Linked DNA regions of Neodiprion lecontei. The protein of the gene in region 1 purifies or fractionates together with the protein of each later gene. This does not show direct contact. Links are inferred from orthologs where the notes say so. Each region holds a gene or a part of one and is shown in the gene's direction. Other genes may lie near its edges.

Region 1 (11,143 bases):
AATGTGTGTTCGAAGCATAGACTTATAGACTGAGCGCTCCTACAAGAGGTACTGAAGCTTACATATAAAGGACAGAGATATATTGGGAGGCTGCTCTCTCTTTTCAATCAGTTTCACACCGGGAGACAAGGGCGTAGTGAAAGTGGACAACTATAGATATAGGCGCATAATTTCGCCTCATTCTCCCTCTACCGCCTCGATCCCCGCCACAAATATCATCAGAGAGAGCAAGGAGTACTACTCCCGGCATATTTCTGTCCTTTAAATGTTTGCTTCAAGCGGCTCATATGCGCGCTCAGTCTATCTTTTATAAGTCTATAGATTATAGTTTTGTGCACTTGTGAGATAGTTACAAGAAAAAAACCGTTGAATCGCCACCTATGTGTGAGAATTCGAAGTATATCAGTAAGCAGACCGGTGCATAACGTCGTTCGACCATTGCTATGTCGTAAGTATCTACAATCTGAATGGCTGACCGTAGAAACGCTTAAGTATGAAGTTAAAATTTGGCTAGATTCTACTAACAATAAAACGGATTCTACGAAAGCGTTATCAGTTGGCGTTGGAAATCATAGTACGGGTTCCCTATAATCCCTATTATATCCTTCACCTCCCTAACGCAGCGGTTACGGTTACGGTAACGGACATTGTAAACTGTCCTTTATTGACGCACACCCCGCACACCACTAACAGTGAAATGGACGGGCGAGAAGAGACAAGGGCAAAGAGATATCAGCAGCGATTGGCTGGATTTTCACGGGCAGCAAAATGCTACGGTAGTATTTTATTGCAGAGTTATTGACCACTAGGAATGGCAATAAAGCAGGAAAGCTCTACCTGGAGTCTCTACAAAACGGACTCTAGCGCTACCTGGTGCGCGCTAAATACGAATTACCTATTTTCTTGGCATTTGTATTGGCCAAGAACTAGGCTGCAAAATACTGTGGAAGTATTTTGCTGCCCATGAAAATCTAGACATTCTCTTTCTTTTCTCATGCGCGTTTCGGGTTTTTCGGCACCTCGCCCATTCTATCTTAATATTATTTCTATGGTCTCTGATTATAGTTCGGTGGCTAGTTCACGGGTCCGGCGCAGAAACTGGAGTCGTGCTAGTCGGAATTTTAGATCGACTTGACAGCTTTCGCTCGTTCCGATGGTTCCGATCAGTAGGCGATAATAAGTCAAGTTCTACTTGAACAAGAGAGGCTATAACCTTTAACGTGTTAATATTTTAAATACCAACGGTGTTAGAGGGAAGTTAATTGTGAGTTGGTGAACAATCGTAAATAATACCTAGTAATTCGCGTTTGTTTTAATACATTTCGCTCTTCGCCATTTTGGCCTGTCATCAGCTTGCGATAAATCCACTCGGTGAACAATTTCTTGCCAGTTTATTTACCATCTTGTGAAAGCCGCACGTTATTTTTCACTTGTTCCTTGAATCTTTGTGACGTTTAACTCGCTTCAAGGATAAATCTGTCCCTTGAAATCCATAAGATTGATAGAGATGTCTTTTTACAGCAGTGGGATGGTACATTGAAGACCGTCCACGTTAGGGATTCCTGCATGGACCGTTCTCAAGAGTGAGTATATTTTTCCCTTTTTACTCCAAGCTTCATTTTCTTTACACTAATTTAGCTAAAAATAATTCATTCCTCGTCACGAACCACGCCTTCCAAGACGAACAGGTGCAACCGGAAGTTAATTCTCTAATCCATTTCCTCCGGCTCCGAGGTACCGTGACGAAAAATCACTGACCATGACCATTGGATCACGAATTATTCGTTCGCACTCTAATTTACAGTATAGAAATTGTCAGATTAATTAGATATTTGTCCGCTGAGCTTTCGTGAGAAAAAAAACCATGTGTTTATTTTTTTCTATCCCGTCCATTGTTTTTGTTTTCAACGTGAATATACACGCGAGATAGGTGGACCACGATGATGCAGTTTCGGAATGTCGGACTTGACGAAAAGATATTTAAAAAAACATTTTCCCCGTTATCATTCTTATGCGGTATTCAGGTAACGGGGGGATTGTATTTTATTTCATTCGACACACGATCAGAACCCTACCTAACGAATATCCATAGCGTCGTATAAGGTCGCCGCCCTGCTGTTTTACGCTACAACACCATTTGAGGTGTGAGTATAACGTTATTAAGCACCTGCCTAGGTTATTCAATTTCTCTAACACCTCGTGGGCGAGTTCGTTTATCTGACAAGCGATTACGTCGACGTCGGCACATCGGATTTAATTATCTTTCCATTACAATCTACGGATATTAAGATTGTATTACACTTCTTCTTGACTTACTAAAATTTGTATCAAATTTATCGTTCGTAACGAGAAATGTTGAGATATTCAGTGATGTGGGTAAAAAAATTAATCCATTCAAAGTTCCGCACTACTTCCTGCACGAACATGGTAGCTCGCATTGTGTCTAGTGTTCGGTATATTTTTCTCATTATCGAATTTCACGACGATAGATTGACGTGAAGCTGCCTGATGCTCTGCGGAAAATGTGAACATATATTTCACGTCAGTTGCGTAAAACTAAGAAACGGACTCAAAAAAACTATAAACCTTCGGTATTGTGCTACTTTGGCTGATTTTTTCAAGTAATTTTAACGAATAGGTATCTCTACTTCCGCCATTGCTTTCAACCATCAAATACGTGAAAAAATATTTGCCCTCTGTATTTCTTTCCGATTTATTAGAACATCTTGTACAACAAATACAGAAAAGTGGTATATATTTTTTTTTGCAAATTTTGCGGGTCACTTCTACATTGTTTTTTTCTTTTTTTGTTTTGTTTTGTAAAAATAAAAAAGAAACCAAGTTGAAATTCACACCGACGTCATTCCGCAAAAACGTTAATAATCGCCGAGGGAATAATTTCATTCACGAAAGGAAGCTGCGTAAGTTGGCCAAGATATATCATGTCGTCATGCTATGAATCATCGCTCACTCGGCAGGAGCAGGTCTGCAGTTGTCGTTCACTGGTTACATGGGCAATGACTGTACGCACAGCGTGAACACATAGCTGTATAGGTGGAAACTTATAGGAATAAAAATTTACTTTGCAATGTAAAAACCACCAAAATGAAAATTCAAGTTCAAATAATTACAAGCAACAATATCCCTGCCTGAAAAAATATTTAAATAAAAATCTTTACCGCCAAGTACGCAACTTTTTTGAAAAATTAACAAAATCAATATCAAAAGTCGAGAATTCGGGACAAAATGAAAAATTCCGAGGATAGCTGTTGAATGCGAAGTTGAACTTGAATCTGATCTCCCTAAAATATCAGCATCAGACGCAACAATTTTACGAAGATCTTCTACGGACCTCCATATTCTCAATTGTACATCTTGTCTAACCATACAAAATGAATAGAGACATAGAGAAAGTCTAGAAAAATAAATTGACGAACAAAGAAAATTCTATCCGTGGGCGACAGATAAATGAGAACAAATCCGAATGCACGGGGAGAGAAAAAAATTAGATTCCACTTAAGACTGCAAAAAAAAAAGACCGCGTCAAATTATATATTATTATACCTGCTACAACTGTATTTTTTACTATAAATGTAGGAGATTTTACCCTGTACACAATGGTTTTCACTGTTTTTAGAGTGAATTCTGCACGTTACGAAGTATATTTTACAAAAAAAACCTGATGTCACCCCCTTTTCCAGCAGTTCTGTGTAATATCTGCTCTTATATTCTCTCCGTGTATGCCAGCATAAAACGGATATGCCCTGATCTGATTCGCGTAAGCTAATTTTTACTCGTCATTTTCGCGCATCAAAATATGGAGACGTTTGTGATTTCAGCACAATTTTCTACATTATTATGTGCAAATTTTTTTGAGACAGTAATCGAGTAATTTGTTATGCGATGTTCCGCGGACCTGTATTTGATAGATATCACACTGAATTAGAAAATTCTTTTTCTTTAAACTCTTCCATGGTATAAGGCGACTTGCTTTCAATGAAAGTAAAATACGTTGGAGCATTTATTTAAAAACCGCATTATCAATGAAACATGATTGTCGCGTTAAAAAAACACGAAACTCTTCTCTCTACCTTGACCGTGGTTATTTATCGTAAATTGGTCGGCGCAGGCGTGGAAACACCCCCAATTTCGAGGACGGAGGTACATACACACATACGTGCTATGCTTAAGGGTAGAACACGCAGAAGCGCCACTCAGTGGTAAAGAAAACGCGACGAGGAACGGGGCTGCTCTCTTCGTCTCATATATAACGGACATAAATTTATTCTCGCATATTTTTGTACTTTCGTGTGTTCGGGTGATGAATTGAAATTTTTTTACAAATAGAACAAAAGGACCGATTGCCATTTTAAGTGCTCTCGTACGTTATAACATATCGAGTGTGTGACAACTGTGACAATATCCCTCGCGAATGTCCATAGAATAAGAAAGAAAAGAGAAAAACAGAATGAAATATAAATTGATTTAATTGAATATTTAGTACGTTTCGTATATAATAAGCGATTAGGTAGGTTGAAAGAATAAGAAAAAAAAATAGATACAAATTCTTTGATTACTGATGGGTAGAACAGATATGTCAAAAACGCTGAACGCTTATAGAATGTGAGTAACACGTTTATTGGAAATATGTTTTGTATTTCTCATACTCTTCGTTTATCGTAATTTCGATTGATTGAATTTTTCCCCACTCACCTGCAGTGTAATATGATATATTTACATACATTTTGTGTGTAGATATCCATCATTACTCAATCTGTGAACAAATACTTTGGATTTTTACATGCGTGCATCATTATTCGGCATAAATACTCTATTAACAGACCTTCTTTTTGTTTTTCTGCTCTTGGACATAATAGGATGTTATTAATGATGAACTCCGAAATGGAGAACGTGTAAATTTATCTGCAAGATACACGTTGATTAAACTCATTGCAATCTCAAATAAATATGTCATCTCATCATTCGAGGTTCACGCAACTGTCTTCGCGAACTTTAAGTAATTCGACAGTTTGCGGATCCAGTACATGTGATATATATCTCACACCACATTTATAAACGAAAATAACACGATGTACAACAAACGTGTACGGTAGCGAATTACATTACAGACAGATTTCGTTGGAATAGACATTTCGCCGCATGTGTCCTTGTGCAAGAACGTTTTCAAGCTAGATGGCTTATACATATTGTGGTTTTGTATTAAACTACTTTATCACGTGTCTAGGGCGTACAGAAGCGATGTTTAAGTAATCAAGTCATTTTCCGTCTCTTCCTATCGCGAATAAATCTCATCACTCTGTACACACAATCAACTCCTAATGAATTATGAAAAACAGACAACGATAGGGTTGATTTTCTCATGATCTCCCCGCAAGACTTCTACATTATGTGACCTGTATTGGTACCTTTGTAAAAAAAAATAAAAAAATAAAAAAAACTTATCAACGTGTAACAGGCCCATAAAATTTCGCCGATTTACAAGCCTTTACACACACTTTACTGTAGTTTGTCTCCTTTCACATGTTACTATCCGTACATTTGCTTGCGCGTATGCACGATATGTACGCTGTCGCATTGAATCGAGGCGTGATACGCGTGCGCGAGATTATTGAGCTTTAACTTATTAAACTTCGGTTCACGCGCGTCCCTGACATGGGGTAAGTTCGTATCCCGATTCGTTTTCAGATATAATTGATTCCCCTGGGCGTTTTGGCTCGTTTTAACAATAAAAATAATAATGAAAAATAAAAAAAAAAACCATACATTTGTAGCAGCCCGTATCCTCGCAGCTAGCGTAATATCCACCGAGATTTTTAGGGGCTCATCCACCGCAGTCGTTGTTAGCTCTTATTATTGATTTCAAGTCCCAGTTGGTCTTTACTGCAGACTCTCGGTGTCACGTAGCTACCGGCTTCTTCGCCGTGAAAATAATCCCCTGAATTAGAGTATAACGCTGGATAAAGTTTCCGTACGTCCTCCTCTTCTTTCGTCGTTGTGCAGGTGCTATTGTCAGTTCATTCCGGTTCTTGGACTAAATACGTACCGTCTCGAGGTGCTCATGACCACTCTTGTATAGAGGATTGGTCACAGGGTGAAGAACACGTTTTTATTAACCCCTCGCGCAGTCCTTGGTTATCAAGTAATTGGAGATAAAAAAATTTCCCCTCAAATTTAATTATCTCGTTAAACTTGTTGACTCGCTGAAGTTCTCTAGTTAAACCTTGGTGAAATTTGTTTCTTTGAAAAATTGTAAATAATTATAGTATTTTGTTTTACAATAAGTATAAACGTTCTTCTGAAGAAAGATATTCAAGAATCACCTTATATAATTCTACTGAGTTGTGAAAAAGTTTCGGCTGAAATATAATTTTTTAAGAAGAGGTGATATGTAAATATTTTTTTTCTTCTTTTTTTTATAATGCACAAATTACAAAACGAACGAATAAAATTTGATCTTGTCGTCAGAGATTTCTCAAAATTTTTGATACTGATGCTTTACTAATTTCTTCCTTTCTCGTATATGTATCTAAACTATCGACGAATCGTAGCGAATTGATATTCTTCACAGTCATTCAGAGAATTGCAATGTACAATTTCCACCGGAACCTAAGACACCATTCACTCTTGGAATAATATCATATGCTTTTTTCTTGTCTTGAAATATTTTTAAATTATCTGTTCTAAATATTATTGTATTTTTAAAGCTATCATTGGCGAAATTTTGAGCCTCCACATTTTATTTTTCCATCTATAACCATGAAACTTCAAAAAGAAATAGAGTTTGAAAGTCTTGAGCCACTTTTTATTTAGATCAAACGTGAAGTAATTCTTTTTTTTTCATCGATCAGCGATAATTAATGATCGTTTTAGAACATTGGTTCACTGAATTTATACCGCTTGTTTTAATTTCAGTAAGAAAATCGAACATATTGGCAGAATGACAGCCATGACACAGGAGGAGATAGTAGCCGGCGCTCGGACGGTGGCCCAGGGACTGGAGGCTCTTCGCTGTGAACACGGGGGTCTCCTGCAGGGTCTACAGTCTCAGGAGGCACCAGCGGCGAGGGAAAAGGCCAGTCTAATATCCAGGAATATTGAAATGATCGAATTGGGTCTTGGAGAAGCACAAGTCATGATGGCCTTGGCTAGTCACTTACAAATGGTCGAAGCTGAGAAGCAGAAACTCAGAACGCAAGTTAGACGATTGTGTCAGGAAAATGCGTGGCTCAGAGACGAGCTTGCAGGAACTCAACAGAAGTTGCAGGGCAGTGAACAAGCGGTATGCAGCCTTCCGTTTTGTTACTTAAAAATTATTTTCACCTTTCGTTTATTTATCTAGTAATACCGATAACTAGTAATATGTGTTTATTGAAAATGTGTAATAAATAATTGAGTTGTTGGTAATTGGATGAATGAAAAACGAGTGAAATTCATGGATTTATGTGTTTCTGGTTTTGCTTTATGAAGGTACATGAAAAGTGACCAAGAAAGTTCCCAAGATTTTCCATTTTACGTACAGCATTGAAATCTATATAGCTTACAGATTCATTTTCAAAGTTATTCTGGACTTGCCAAATAGTAATTTAGGTTTCAACGTTGTATAAAGTTGACGTTAATAATTTAAAACTCATTCTGAAGTAGAGTTTATTATAAAACATCACTATTTGATTCTCTAAAGTGCAACATAACTTTTCGTTTTAGGTTGCACAACTAGAAGTAGAGAAGAGGCAGCTGAACTTTATGGCCAGCATAAGACAATTTGATCCTGATCCACCAGCTGAGGATGAAAATACAAAGGATAGGCCGAAAGATGATCCAGTTGTTGATCTGTTCCCGGATGATGATAACGATGATCGAAGTAAGTTATTTTGCTCTTTGTTATTCACAATTCACTTAAAAGAACTTCGAATCATCTGATAATTTGCGTTAATCAACAAGTTGTGAAATGATTCTTGCAAGCCTTACAAAAGTTTTTTCGTAGATTGCCCATTGATTTCATACATCTATCATTCAGACTTTCATTATGACCGTACGGACTGAAATCAGTGTTTTAAATTTGACATTGTCTTGTTTTTCAGCCATGACACCAACTCCACCATCTCAGTTCGCTCAACAAGTGAATGCTGGATACGAAATACCAGCACGTCTCCGTACTCTACATAATCTTGTTATCCAATATGCGAGTCAAGGGCGTTACGAAGTTGCAGTACCACTGTGCAAGCAGGCGTTAGAAGACCTTGAAAAAACATCTGGTCATGATCACCCCGATGTTGCGACGATGCTAAATATTTTAGCCCTAGTTTACAGAGATCAAAACAAGTTCAAAGAGGCAGCAAATCTGCTTAATGATGCTTTAGCCATCAGAGAAAAAACTTTGGGTGAAAATCACCCAGCTGTTGCTGCAACGTTAAATAACTTGGCTGTTTTATATGGTAAACGTGGAAAATATAAGGAAGCTGAGCCGTTATGCAAGCGTGCATTGGAGATTCGGGAAAAGGTACTTGGACGTGAGCATCCAGATGTTGCAAAACAGTTGAATAATTTGGCGCTGTTGTGTCAAAACCAGGGAAAATATGAGGAGGTATGTTATTTTCATTGCATTGCCAATTTGGTGTCCAAATATCTTGTAATTTCTGAAGTTTTTGGAAATGGATTTCAAAGTATTAAGTTTTCAACCCTCGAAACTTCGCGAATAAAATTTAGTGGTAGTGAATATATAAATATTATTTATTTTTACGATTTTATCATACTTAATTTTGTATGTAATTCCTTGCAAGATTTGCAAAGTAACAGTTTATTTCTTATCTGCTTTCAGGTTGAACGCTACTATCAACGTGCTTTAGTAATTTACGAATCAAAGTTAGGGCCAGACGATCCAAACGTTGCAAAGACAAAAAATAATCTTGCCTCTTGTTACCTCAAACAAGGAAAATATAAGGAGGCGGAGGTTCTCTACAAACAGGTCCTAACAAGAGCTCATGAACGTGAATTTGGGGCAATTGAAGGTGACAACAAACCAATATGGCAGGTGTGTTGAAAGGGGTACATATGCGCTTATTAAAATGAATTCCAATCCTTTTTCACGTACAGAAATGATTATTTCATATGTGTTAAGTTTTAAAAAATATAGGTGTTCTTTGAATAAGTTATAACTTACAGTAATCTGATTTCATAAATAAAACCGTTATCTTATATTCAGGCCGGCAACCAACTAAATTCAATCCCAGTATCTTCTAAGAGTACTTCCGGGCCTCTGATCACTATATTATTTCTCTTGTCTTGCCTGCCTTTTGCTTCTTGTTTCCTTCTCAGCTCCTTGATCATTTCTTCGAGCTCTTGACCGATTTATCACCTGCGCACTCTCACCTGCTATCTCTTTTGTTTTGCTGGTACTTCGAGTATCATGCTTATGCTTCGATCTAGTCTCCACTTCTGTTTTAAATGTTGGTTATTTTGAAGTCAGCTTTCCGTTATGGTTTTGTCTTTTTGCCTCTTTTCATCAATGTGGTTGGGAAAACGTTTACTTGCACCCTGCTCACACGTCTTATGCGTGTATCTATGCGCACTGTGGTATTCACTTCCTGGATTCACTAAGTTTTATAAAGGTTTTGATGCGTTGTACGCTATGTCATTATCACTCAGTGTCCATGCCAGAAATCCTTGAGAAAAAATATATGTCATAAGAAATTGAAACATGACTAGTAGTAAAAATGATGGTATCGTTTAATTGGACAGCAGTCTTAGTTGACAGGAGTAAGGTGAGAAAAAAGAAAAACATATAACTGAAGAAAAGTCCAGCCACACCGAAAAAGTCGATTAAGAGTGAGATCCAATATGAGAGATAGATTACAAGGACTACAGTTGGTAAAGTACAGAAATAACCTAGGAACGAGGGTCCTTAGTCAACTTGAAATTTTTAATATTATGCTGAAAACATTGGGCTCAACGTTTGATGTACTCAAACTCGCAGTAAATCCAATCGTCTTTGGTGCAAACTTATATTCCACTCAACATCAATTCTACTGACATAGGGTGCAATTAAACTGGTCAGATAAATTGTATTACACTTGTGAATGTAGAGTGATCAGAGAAGGCTTAGAAAAAACATATGAGAAGTTGCATAGATGGAATGAACAAACAAGATCTAGAGATAGAAAGATAAAAACTGATTCAAGGAAGGTAATGCTAGAGGCGTGCAAGTACATCAGACGAAAATAAAGCTGTGGAGAAGACAGAAGCGAGATTAGACTAACGTTAATAATATGATGTATTATTAAGAGCAATGTGAGTTCTGAAAATGCGTCCATTAAGAAGTGTAATCGCAAAAAAAATTGTATAATGGAAGGGCATGAAACATACTAAACACTATTGATATTGTTTCAGGTAGCGGAAGAGCGTGAAGAAAATAAACATAGAAATAAGGAAAACGCGCCATATGGTGAATATGGTGGTTGGCATAAAGCAGCAAAAGTCGATTCACCTACGGTAACTACAACACTCAAAAACTTAGGCGCACTTTACCGGCGACAGGGAAAATATGAGGCTGCTGAAACGCTTGAAGACTGTGCGTTGAGGTCACGAAGAGAGGTAATTTACACATATTTTATTGAATTTAGTCAGTGCTACGTGATCAAATTTGGGTTATTCCACGTGAGAAGTGACGTTAAATGATATGTTATTTCTTCATTTTGTGTGCTGCTAACCCTCTGAGAGCTGAATTCTTCCGCAAAATAGTATTTTAATTTATGAAAAAAATTGCTAAATGAAAAACGAAATTTGTTTTATTCGAAAAACATCCAAGAAGGCAAGTATGAATTTGTGCAAAAACATGCTTGAATTACAAAGTGATGGAAAAGCTTTTAAAAATAATATGGCCCATTGGTTTTGAGTAGTTCCCAAGAAATCAATCGTTGATTGAATTATGTTATTAAACGCCATTTGTCCATGGCCTTGGTTGACTTGGCATACCCTCTAAGTAAATAGGGGTTTTTTACTCGTTTGAACATGTAAATACTGCAGATCATACTGGAGTTTGATATATTACTTGTATTATTGCACTTCCAAAGTTTCCAAAGTGTGCAATTTGGTCACTGTCGCAGACCAGTTACCGCGCAACATGAAA
Region 2 (10,717 bases), on another chromosome or scaffold:
CTAACACGAAAAGTGAGACAGGGAAGGTTACATCGACGCCATGAGAATCGACTGACCGAAGCTCGGGGCAGCCGACAAGGTTGGCGGCTGAGGAATATTTCCTGTTTGTTCGTATTGGGCCAGATTTATAGCGGCCACCTCCCGACTCAACATCCTCATGAGCTGCTCCATCCTTTTTCCGTCGCACTCGACGTCGACCAGAATTTCGTACTCGGGACCGCGTTGCGCCGATCGACGGGACTCAATGTGGACAACGTTGACGCCTAGGTCCTGAACAGAAGTGAATGTGAATTTCAAACGGAATCCAATCTACGATCTAACGGCCCGGCCGGTCTGTTTTAATTGGAGCCTTGCGCAAAACGGTACCATTTCGTAATACCCGGTTTGGCGGTTCTTTCTGACAAACGAACAACCTCAGTCCGCGATCGCGCGATACAGATATTTCACGCATGTCGCACGTTAACCTAGGAATAAAATGCGCTGTGCGTTGAGCATCGAGTGTAGAAACCATTTGCTGTCTTGTTCTACTCGGGTTTTCAAGGAGAACGGCTCGAAACCTCCGGACTGACGGACACGTTATTTCTAGGCGGTCAAGGGCGGCATGCGTTCATTTTAGTCACTGAACATCAAGATAGGGATAGATGTTCTTTTTTCCTTCTTTTTTTTTTTTGGCTAAGGTCTTTCGTTACTCGTTTAATGAAAGTGGTCAATGGAATTTGCGGAGTCACGAGTTCTTGTCCCAATACCGAAGCAGCGACAAATATGCAATAGTTATATCAAAGGCTGCACTTATAAGTACAAGCATCAAGACTAATTTGGATAGAAAAAAAAAAAAAAAAAATGGCTCGTACCTAATGTTATAAAAGTCAGTTAACACTTCATTTCTTAATATTGACGTACTCTCAAGGATTTTCATTGAAATTATTATTACTTTTAGCCCGAGTCGGATTAGCGCAAGAACGAATTCATGAAAAAAAAGCTTTTGGTTCGTAATCTCGAAATTGTGCATCCGGCTCGCATGTGTTATCTGAATTTCACCTCAGTTTAAAAGATGTTGTTCCGAGATATCATGCTCGCAGCGTGTATCTTAATTTCTGCAATGCCGAACGGAGTTGAACGCGTATATTCACTAGAATGTACACGCGTATGTTGAATTACGAGATTTCCGATGTAAAAATAGAATTTTTATCACAACTCGTTACGGCCCCGCTGTTAACGGTGTTCCAAACGTAGGGTAATGTTAAATGTGCCAAATCGAATAGAGAAATAATACTCGACTGATAGAAATCTATGGCAGAAACCAGTTAACCACATCCCACTATGACATTTGCGCAAGTGATATCTCTCGACTCTGCACTCAGACTTTTGGTTAATTAATGGGGTGAAAAGTGAAACACCGGTGAATTTGGTTTTCGTCGACTTTACACGCGATACTTGATAGCATTCCATTTTCACTTCCCATGCTACAAAGCGTCGGAAATTAGCCTAATACCGTGAGTAGAATAAAGAAACTAGTGTATGTTACCGTCTCCGATGCACAAGGACGCCTTTATTGCACATGATCTTGTTGTTATTTCCGTGCAGCAAGACACGTGTCGTCGAGTGAGTAACTTGAAATGTTGCTCAAGACTGGACCGTTATGTCACGAGCAGTGAGCGTGAGTGTCGTTTCACGCAATCCGAAGAACTGTTCCGACGCAACGATTTTCCCGCGCTCCTACCGGTCACCTATCGTTTCTTTAAAAGGTGGGACTGGTTCCCAGAGGGGGAAATTATCATATGGAATCACTCTACTCCTGCTTCTCCTCCGTCTCCACTTGCCTATCCTCCAATCGAATAAAGTTGGTTTCGCTGCCGAGATTCGACGTGTTCAAGAAGAAAGAATCTAGGATCCTTAATTGTTCGGCTGCGGTATACGTACTTGATTCGATCAGCGGGCAAGCAGCTTACCTGGAAAACTTGCAACGCTCGAGCTAAGCCTCCAACTTGATTCTTCAGTGAGAAGATTACCGAATTTTTATTCTCCTCACTTGCGTCCCGCTCAGTCATCGGGACCTGGACACGTATAATCGGATCAGAAGATCGTTCATTTCTGAGGATCAACGGTCGCCTTCGTCACCGATTTCATGTACTCACGTCTGGAACCTTGTGCATCGGGCTTCCCTCTTTGATGGCCCACTCTTGGCCTCTTCTGTAGAGCCACATGCCCAAAAGACCTTTTCCAGAACCGCTCATAACTGTTGCGTATTTACGTAGGGATTTTATTTGAAATCCGCAGCCGCCGCAAGGCTCAGGAAAGAAAAATTTCACGTGTTCTTAATCGAAGATTTTCGATTTTACTTGGATAAACACGTCTCGGTAAAGAACGCAACGCAGGTTCAACCTCACTCTTGGATGATGCTTCTATCTCTCTTGCGGAAGGACCGACAGTGTTCACCCTGCAGCCGATTCCGGTCTTCTTAAGCTTTTCACCCCTCCGCCGTGGCGTCCTCGCTCCCTGTCTTCGTCCAACATCGGCTCCCGATTGGTCCCTGAGCAAGGGGATGACGGGCAACTATTGGCAGAGACGGTTTTCTATAGGAGTACGGGGATTATGGGGGTGGTTCGTTCTTGCTCCTGAGGACGCTATCCTCCCTCTTTCCCGGTCCTTCCGGCAAACTTGCGGCGAGACCCTGTATAATCTCTGACGTCCTTGAATTCTGACCTCTATCCTCACCTCTTGAGAATATTCACGACGAATTACGGAAACAGTTGAAACAATGAGAAGTGTAACTTTGATTGTTGGAGAAATAATCGATTGTTAAAAATTAGCAGTATGTCGAGTTTGTATTATCGAGCAGCTTTAATTAATTTCGAACACAGGTACTAGAAAATCTGTTAAATTTAACCGAGTTCAGACAGATTATCTGTTCGTTTGCTGCAGAAGACTTCTTCATAAAATGCACGACCAAGTTACGTCAATTGGTTTACAAATGAGTTACTAATTGGATTCGTCGTGTACGGGACCATTGTTGATGCACATCTGGCATCGCTTATAAACCGAGCAGTATCATAACGCTCCAAGATAGTATTTAATTTCGCAGACACGGACCGTTACACACTCACTCTTTTGTCCGTGAAAACGTGAACTTTCGTAACTCCAGAGCAGCAGTCCGGATCGAACCAGACGAACAATTAATCATTGCACATAACATGTCCACGGACGAATAATGTAGACGACGGAACGATTATCCTCTGATCGGCAAGAAATATACCACGTATCCTTCTGCTGTCACGATGTTGCGTACGTTACGCAGACTTGACTTATGTATTCGACGGGAGTACGTCGTAATTTGTCGAGAAAAGAAAAAAAAAAAAGAAAATGCATCAGACGGTACGACACTGTGCTCTAAAATTGCGAGATTGGTCTTCTGGATGAATGTGTGTTTAGTATGAGAAAATGCTGGGGAACGAGAGTAGGAGAACGGAAAGCAAATGAGAAAAGGAGAGACAATGCTTAACAAAAGCCCGAACCCACTTCTCTACCCTAGCGAGTCCTATCGGTTCTCACCGCTTCTCCACAAAGCAGATACAGCACATTATCCAGCCAGCCCATCACTTACCACTATCAGCTACTATCCAGAGGCAGTCGAGGTGGCCGAGTTGTACCGGGTGTTTCGCTTGGTTTTGCAATAGAAAAATAACGATCTTACAGACCTACCTTGCTGCTAGAACGCACTTCATCCATGTGGTGCATCGAAAGGAACGGTGACGTAAATACATGCCGATTAAAAATGGTCAGCAGGGCACAAGCGTCATAGACGAAGTTCGCAAGCGACATCCAGTGGCCTGATTATCGTGGGATTTGAGGTGACAGACGCCTGTACCAGACTTTGGCTCACCCGTGGTCTGGGGTGTGGGCGATAGTCGCAGGCTACACTGCGTATATCTCTGGAAGTGTCTGTTTCACCTTGCTTCAATTACTTACGGCCCGCATCCATCGGGGAGCGTCTCATTCGCTGAGCGAACGGCAAGACCGGGTCCAGATGAATGGCGATGCTCGGACCGTCTGCCGGCATCGGAGATCGGTTTACTGCTTCTGCCCACTTCGTCGAGTGTTATGTTAAGGGTGGCCCAGTACCGGCCCTGTGGTTATCACTCGATGTCGGTAGCTGGAAACTCTGAGATATGACTACATGTACTTCGATAAGCATGATGAATCGGCATAAATTTTTATACGATAAAGAAAATTGCGTGAAGTCTTTTCAGGCTCGTTGTAACAGGTAGACGGAGGTCGTACGCGATTCGGTACAAGGTTTCTCTCAGGCAATATAGTACTCGTTGAGAGCGGGGAGTTTTATTCATGGAACGAAAGTGGAGAGGAGTCTCCTGGTTATTTAAAGAGAGCTTCGATTCGAACTAGCGTTTGCAAAGCCGGTGGGAGGCAAATGGTTAGGCGCAAGATGATGGGCATTCGGTGTTGGCAAACACTAGGATCCTTTCAACGACGTTCCTCGGCACGAATGATGGGACGGAGGTATGCTGAAGAAACGAAGGCGGAAGCCAGCCGAAAATTAAAAAGCGTACGAAAGGTGAGACCACTCAATTTCGAGGTGCTTCATTGGCCGAATTAGGGGAAGGACCTTGTCAAACCGCATTAGTTGTACAAGGTAGTCATCGTCCAACGCGTCAACATCGGTATCCGTATTGTAGGTACTTCTCACGATCGTTAACAACAGCGGTTTAGCCAAATTTTCTCTAGGTATAATCAATGCCACCAGTGTCCGAACTCTTGCAATTGTTTGCTTGGATTTGATGCAAGTGGTTCACGGGTGACGGGACGGCGTTTAGGCGCTGCATCACACGAGTAGAAGTTTCGTATTTCGTTCATCCCTCTGCGCCCCCATATTCGTTTTTCATCTCGAGGCTCGCTCGAGGGGTGCGCGCGTCACGCTGCGTCCAGGAATCAATAGGTTTGCGACGCGTGCGCCGCCTTCGTCCGGCCCGGTCGCCTCCGCCGTCGGCCGCCTCCACGGACCGACCTTTCAAGAATGGCTGATTCAGAGTTTGAAGAATTCCGGCATTACTTTGAGAGACTGCCTCAACATCTCAAGGCACCGATATCAAATTACACGTGAGTAATTTTATCAGTTATCTTTCCATCCGTGGTGGATTTTACTGTGGAGGAAAACACTTGACACGTTGAAGCCGCTCGCGTTGATGAAGAAGCACCCTGACATGCGACATCGTTTTCACTATCCTTGTCAACGTTAATGGGTCTATAGGACACGGTGATATTTATAAATAACGTCACAATCATCATCGATCAATGGTTTGTTGGGGCGATCCACGGTTGTCAATAAACACGGGGTGCAATTTACAGCATGAGTAAAAAATTCGTCGATGCAGCGTAAATAATGACAGGGAAAATTGTTCTAATAGAAGAAATATAACTACATCATCCTGGTCGACAAAATCTTTCTGACCATTTGGTACAACTTGTGGTTTGCCGAGCCTTAGTGAACTGCAGTTTACGAGTATGCATACATATTGTATACAAATGGATTCTCAGACATTTCTCATGGCAACTGTCAAATTTCGTATTCCTTGTATTCTGCCAGCCTTATTTCAACTCAAATTTCATCCAATAACGTCTTTTTAATGTTCCGCAACCCAGGTAGAGGGGGTGAATCAAGAGATGTGGTTTCAATGTACTTCAGGAGTTTCAATCGATACCCGAAACACTGTAATTGAAACCAAAACTATTGACATGTCATGCAGGAGAGGGGGGGGGGGGGGGGGGGGGGCAGGTAAAAATCACCAGCCGTGATATTGAAGCGGAATGTTCATGGTCGGTAAATTATATGAACCATAAACGAGCCGTCCAAGATCATTAGTATATAAAAAATATTTTAGGAGCGTATTACAAATATCGTTGAAACCCGATGTGCTCCCAGACTTAGGGTTTCAGTTTACCACAAGAGCATGGTGGTCAGAAACTTCATCTGCGCATTGGAAAAACGGAGTAAGTGTAGACGTTTCGTGCGCTCTAGTAAAAATCAATGGCTGGCTATGTGATCAAACGTTTATAAACTATTCTTCGACGAGGTCTGGTACATACATGTCCTTCCGTACGGTATTCAAACTTTGGGGTCGGCGTGGTGAATTTTTTTTGGTAATCAATAGCATCTTAGGGAAGAAAACGTACGCGCTTCGACAGCTTCTCTTTCAACAAGCACTTTCAGACCAAAGACCGATGAATCGAAGGAGAGAGCTTACTAATCTGGAATCTAGTATTAAGCACATGACGTGAGGTAGAAGAGTGAAATTTATGAATGAGCGTTACTTGTTTCGTCTTTCATCTCGCGACAGACTGGTCCACGATGTCATGGTCGACGATTCACCGACGTCCTCGCAGGGCAGCGACGGAGACGTCGGTCAGAATGGTGCAGCCGTGGACTCGGAGGACGACGAGGTTGTCGCGCTTATTCATCGTCACGGAAACCACAGCGAGCAGAGCTCAGGAGACGACGACGAAGAGCTAGACCACCACTGTTCCATCGTAGCTGACAGCGACTTTAGGTATGGCAAGTGCACTTTCCTCGCATCTCATCTTTGCGTGGGTTCTCGCTCATACGAACGGCAGGCGAGTCCGAACCCGCGTAGCTATGAGTCTGTTTATAAGATCGACTCTCGATGGGAGGTTAGAAGATTTCAATGGCATGTGAGTAGACTAGTGACAAGGACACTGCGTTGGGTGACATTAGCTTGTTCGGTGGACTGAGCAGTAGGAGGCGATCGGTTTCCGGGGCTGGAGGAGGACAAGGAAGATCGGAAGGTGGAGGCTGCGGCAGGGAGAGTGTAATCAGTGACGTAGGTGACTCCTGCTCGAGCCTCAGCTCCTGGCCCACTCCGGAACACGTGCCGTCAAATCGTAGCGGAAGCGGGTGCACCGCAAGCGGCGAACGCAGGCGGAGACGACTTCCGGAGATTCCAAAGACGAAAAAATGTAAGCATTGCCAGTTCTACGTAATTCACATCGGTTGACACGTGACGACGAGTAAACGTGCTCACGGTGTATTGTTGAAATTTGTATTTCCATCGGTTCTCCCGAGCAAAGAAAAAGTAACGAGACTCGGGAGATTATGCCGATGTTGTCGTCGTAACTTGATCTCCGTCGATCGCCATTTGCGTGAAACATTAGCAGCCTCTGATCACAAATCATGTGTGACGAAAGGAAATAGAGGCTTTTGCTGTATGAGGTTGACATAATTAACCGCAAAATAGACAAGCGTACAGAAAATAACCGCCAGAAAGAGAGCAAAAGGAAACAAAAAGAAAACTGCTGTATGTAACGAATCAGTTCTAGTCTCGATCTTCGGAGAATTCAGTCGTTACTTACCTTTATTTCTTAGATTATTCGAAATAAACTCGGTGGAAAATAATAGTCGTACTCACCGAGTGCTACAAAGACACGGTTTATGAAAAGAGAATCTTCTGCAATTCCAATCATCATGCATTACTCTTGTGTCTACAACAGGGGTGAGTTTCACAGTCGTAAAAGCTCTGTGTTTCCTTGAAAATTGATTGGATCGTGAAAACATAACGGTATACATTAAGAAAATCGTTAGTTTGAAGTGAAAAGAAATATCATGCTCGTAAATGTGGAACCTGGAGAATTTCCTTGAGTTATGAACGTATATAACTAATTGACAGCCGTGTCGATGTGCCATTCGTCTCTTCACTCGTCTCCGTCGCTCGCCGACGAGCTGGGGGCGGCAACGTCAACGGCGGGACGGCCGCATCTCGTTCTGAGGAAGTATCATCCGCGTCTCCGTCATGAGGATAGTTCCCCGGACAGCGAGAGAATGACGACGGACAGTGGCCACTCCACCGCTCATTCCCCAGACAACGGGCCCAAGAGTGTGTCTCCAATTCCGTGCAGCACCGTACAGAATACGAACTCAGTCTCGCCGAGCAGCACGCCAGGTGAACGCAGAAAAAAAAAAAGCAGAAAATAAGTAGCAGAATTAGTAAAGCTTCGATTAGTATCCAAATCTACGGTGGTTGTAAAAACAATACCTTATTCGTATTGAAAATTTGCTCCCTCCAGGTAGCGGTGGAGTTCCTTTCACGCAGCTAGAACTACTGGAGGCGACTCATCGCGGGCTGCACAAGTTTGTGCCGCGACATCACGACGAAATCGACTTAGAGATCGGGGACCCGATATACGTGCAGAAGGAGGCTGACGATCTTTGGTGCGAAGGTATGAAACTCCGGCGGCAGAATTGTCTTCGATAAGCAGAGTGAGCCTCTTCTCGTTTCAGGTGTGAACCTGAGGACTGGCAGACAAGGTATCTTCCCTTCGGCTTACGCGGTGGACATGGACTACAGCGACTTCGATCCTTCGGCTCCGAAGGTGAAACGGGAACGATACCTACTGGGATACCTCGGATCGGTGGAGACTCTTGCTCACAAAGGAACGGGCGTCGTCTGCCAAGCCGTTCGCAGAATCGTCGGTGCCCCGAGTCAGGAATCGCCCGCGTCTCAGAGTTGCATTCTAGAAGTGTCTGACCAGGGTTTGCGGATGGTCGACCGGAGCAAACCGCAGGTAATGGCAGGGGAGTATTTTTCAACGATTTTCGAAAGCCACCGTCTTCGACGGAGAAGTTTTCGTTTCACGAAAGAAGAACCACAGCTCTATAGCCCTTCGGTCCTAATTAGAACTCTCACGAACAATATGTCTCGTTTTTTTCTGTGGTCCCTGCAGAAAAATCGGGGCCCTTGCCACGACTACTTCTACTCGCTGAAGAACGTCTCGTTTTGCGCTTTTCATCCACGGGATCATCGCTATCTCGGATTCATAACGAAACACCCAACGCTCCAGAGGTTCGCCTGTCACGTATTTATTGGCCAAGAGTCGACGCGACCTGTTGCCGAAGCAGTTGGGTAAATAAAAACTATATTGATATATTGCGTATGTTGCATGGTTTCTGCTTACGTAACGAGGAACGTGGATGTCTTGCGTCTTCTGTTGCAGGAGAGCCTTTCACCGGTTCTACACGAAATTCATCGAGACTGCTTTCCCCATAGAAGACATCTACATAGAGTAATGAATTGCTGAAATATAAGTTGCTGTTGACGCTGACGATCTCATTCCCTTGTAAATACCACCCCTTAGCTGATTTAGCCTTATATATACTAAGTCTAAATCAAATGCCCAATATAAACAATTACGATAATAAAGAATCATTATTCGCATGGTAAAAAAACTGCGACGTGTTCAGCCTTTGCAGAAAATATTTCGCGCCGGTTCGCCTAGATACAAGAAAATACGTACGGTAACGTTAATTTTTCTTTCTGTAGCGGCTGTACACCCTCAGCGATTAAATTAGTTTTTCGTGGTATATCGTTTTCGCACGACGAAATGTATTATTCGAAGAGATTGAAAACTTTGAGAAAAATTGTTTTTAATATGTACTAAACGTCGCGCATTTATACATAGATATAATACAGTGACGATTGGGCGTTCGATTTTCACAATTGGTGTACTGATGGACTGTTGAGAACTCGCAAGGTGAGCCTTTCGATCAATTGCAAATTCTTACCAGAGATGATATTAATTATAATAATGAAAAAAAGCCTTAACATGACCACGGACGTGTGAAGTACGCAAGTGATGAGTTACACATACTTCAAATACCGATCCTTTCTGTGTCTTTTCAATGAGCTGCAAAATTTTTGAAACACTGACTCTGATTTCATTCTATCAATTAAGATAAAGTAACCACTGTATTACTAATACTGTATAACGTGTATAAGACAGTGAATAATGTCAATTTGGAAATGAACTGATGAGGGGAGGACACGCACCCGGGATGGCTGGTTTCTTTGAAATTTGAACCGGTCAAATCAGATTAAATCTCGCTAGATCCGTATTTTTTTCCGAACAATGCGCGGTAGTTGCAAAAAAAATCATGTGGATCTAATCTGATCTAATGACAAAAAATCGTTCACTAGCTTTTTGACAGCTGTGAATACTAGTTACAGTACCTACATTCCAAATGAATTACTTTCTTCCGACAGAAGACTTGCATTTCATGAAATGAATATTGTGAAAAAACATGTTACAACAGCAATCTTTGTCAAACTGAATACAAGAATGAAATAAAGTAAATACCCTGCAATAATCTTGGGGAAATTGGGTTTTAGCGAAATTGTCTGGATTCTGGATACGTTGTAGATCTCCGTGAGCACGACCCTCTGCTGTGAATAGTTCGGACGCTAAAAACCACCGTTGACGTCCCATGGAGACTTTTTTTCAGACTGCCAATATCTACAACTTATCAAAAATCCAGACGATTTCAATCAAAAACCGAATTACCATAAGATTATTGCGGGGTTCTTTCTTTATGTGACAACAACAAATGTTACCTACGCTTTATAAAATCATTTGTAACTTCGTCCTGATCCCATTTTCAGCAACTTTCAAAAATATTCGGATTCTCGTGCATAAACTGCAAACTTTCAGATAAACATGGTAAATTTCAAATCAAAGTTGATAACGATAAAATAATAACGAATATCTATGGAAAAGAGCGTTCCAGAGGATTTACTCTAATTGTAAAACAGATTTTACGGTCAGGAAAATTAGTTTCTTCTCAATTGATAATCCCTTGGGCCACACTTTTTCCCCGTGATAAGATACAATAAGAATGCGAGCATAAAAATTAATTTGT

What was found. Proteins that work in one complex are often made in the same cells at the same time.
Region 2: the proteins of kinesin light chain (region 1) and JNK-interacting protein 1 purify together in Drosophila melanogaster (affinity purification with western blotting, with the first as the bait; 3 studies listed by BioGRID). This does not show direct contact. The link is inferred for Neodiprion lecontei from reciprocal best matches to the Drosophila melanogaster genes Klc and Aplip1.

What each region holds. Positions count from the first base shown.
Region 1 is NC_060263.1:21,591,922-21,603,064, forward strand, and holds the start of kinesin light chain, read left to right. Parts: upstream 1-4,227; 5' UTR 4,228-4,579; coding exon 4,580-4,623; intron 4,624-5,971; exon of another isoform or gene 5,972-5,989; intron 5,990-6,933; coding exon 6,934-7,300; intron 7,301-7,722; coding exon 7,723-7,879; intron 7,880-8,099; coding exon 8,100-8,602; intron 8,603-8,836; coding exon 8,837-9,049; intron 9,050-10,404; coding exon 10,405-10,608; intron 10,609-11,143. UniProt on the Drosophila melanogaster protein: Kinesin is a microtubule-associated force-producing protein that may play a role in organelle transport. The light chain may function in coupling of cargo to the heavy chain or in the modulation of its ATPase activity.
Region 2 is NC_060261.1:43,605,269-43,615,985, reverse strand, and holds the start of JNK-interacting protein 1, read left to right. Parts: upstream 1-4,964; 5' UTR 4,965-5,029; coding exon 5,030-5,112; intron 5,113-6,350; coding exon 6,351-6,560; intron 6,561-6,745; coding exon 6,746-6,987; intron 6,988-7,694; coding exon 7,695-7,967; intron 7,968-8,091; coding exon 8,092-8,244; intron 8,245-8,305; coding exon 8,306-8,589; intron 8,590-8,748; coding exon 8,749-8,927; intron 8,928-9,018; coding exon 9,019-9,091; 3' UTR 9,092-10,717. Other genes in the region: tryptophan 5-hydroxylase 1, read right to left, coding at 57-270, 1,950-2,054, 2,136-2,234. UniProt on the Drosophila melanogaster protein: The JNK-interacting protein (JIP) group of scaffold proteins selectively mediates JNK signaling by aggregating specific components of the MAPK cascade to form a functional JNK signaling module.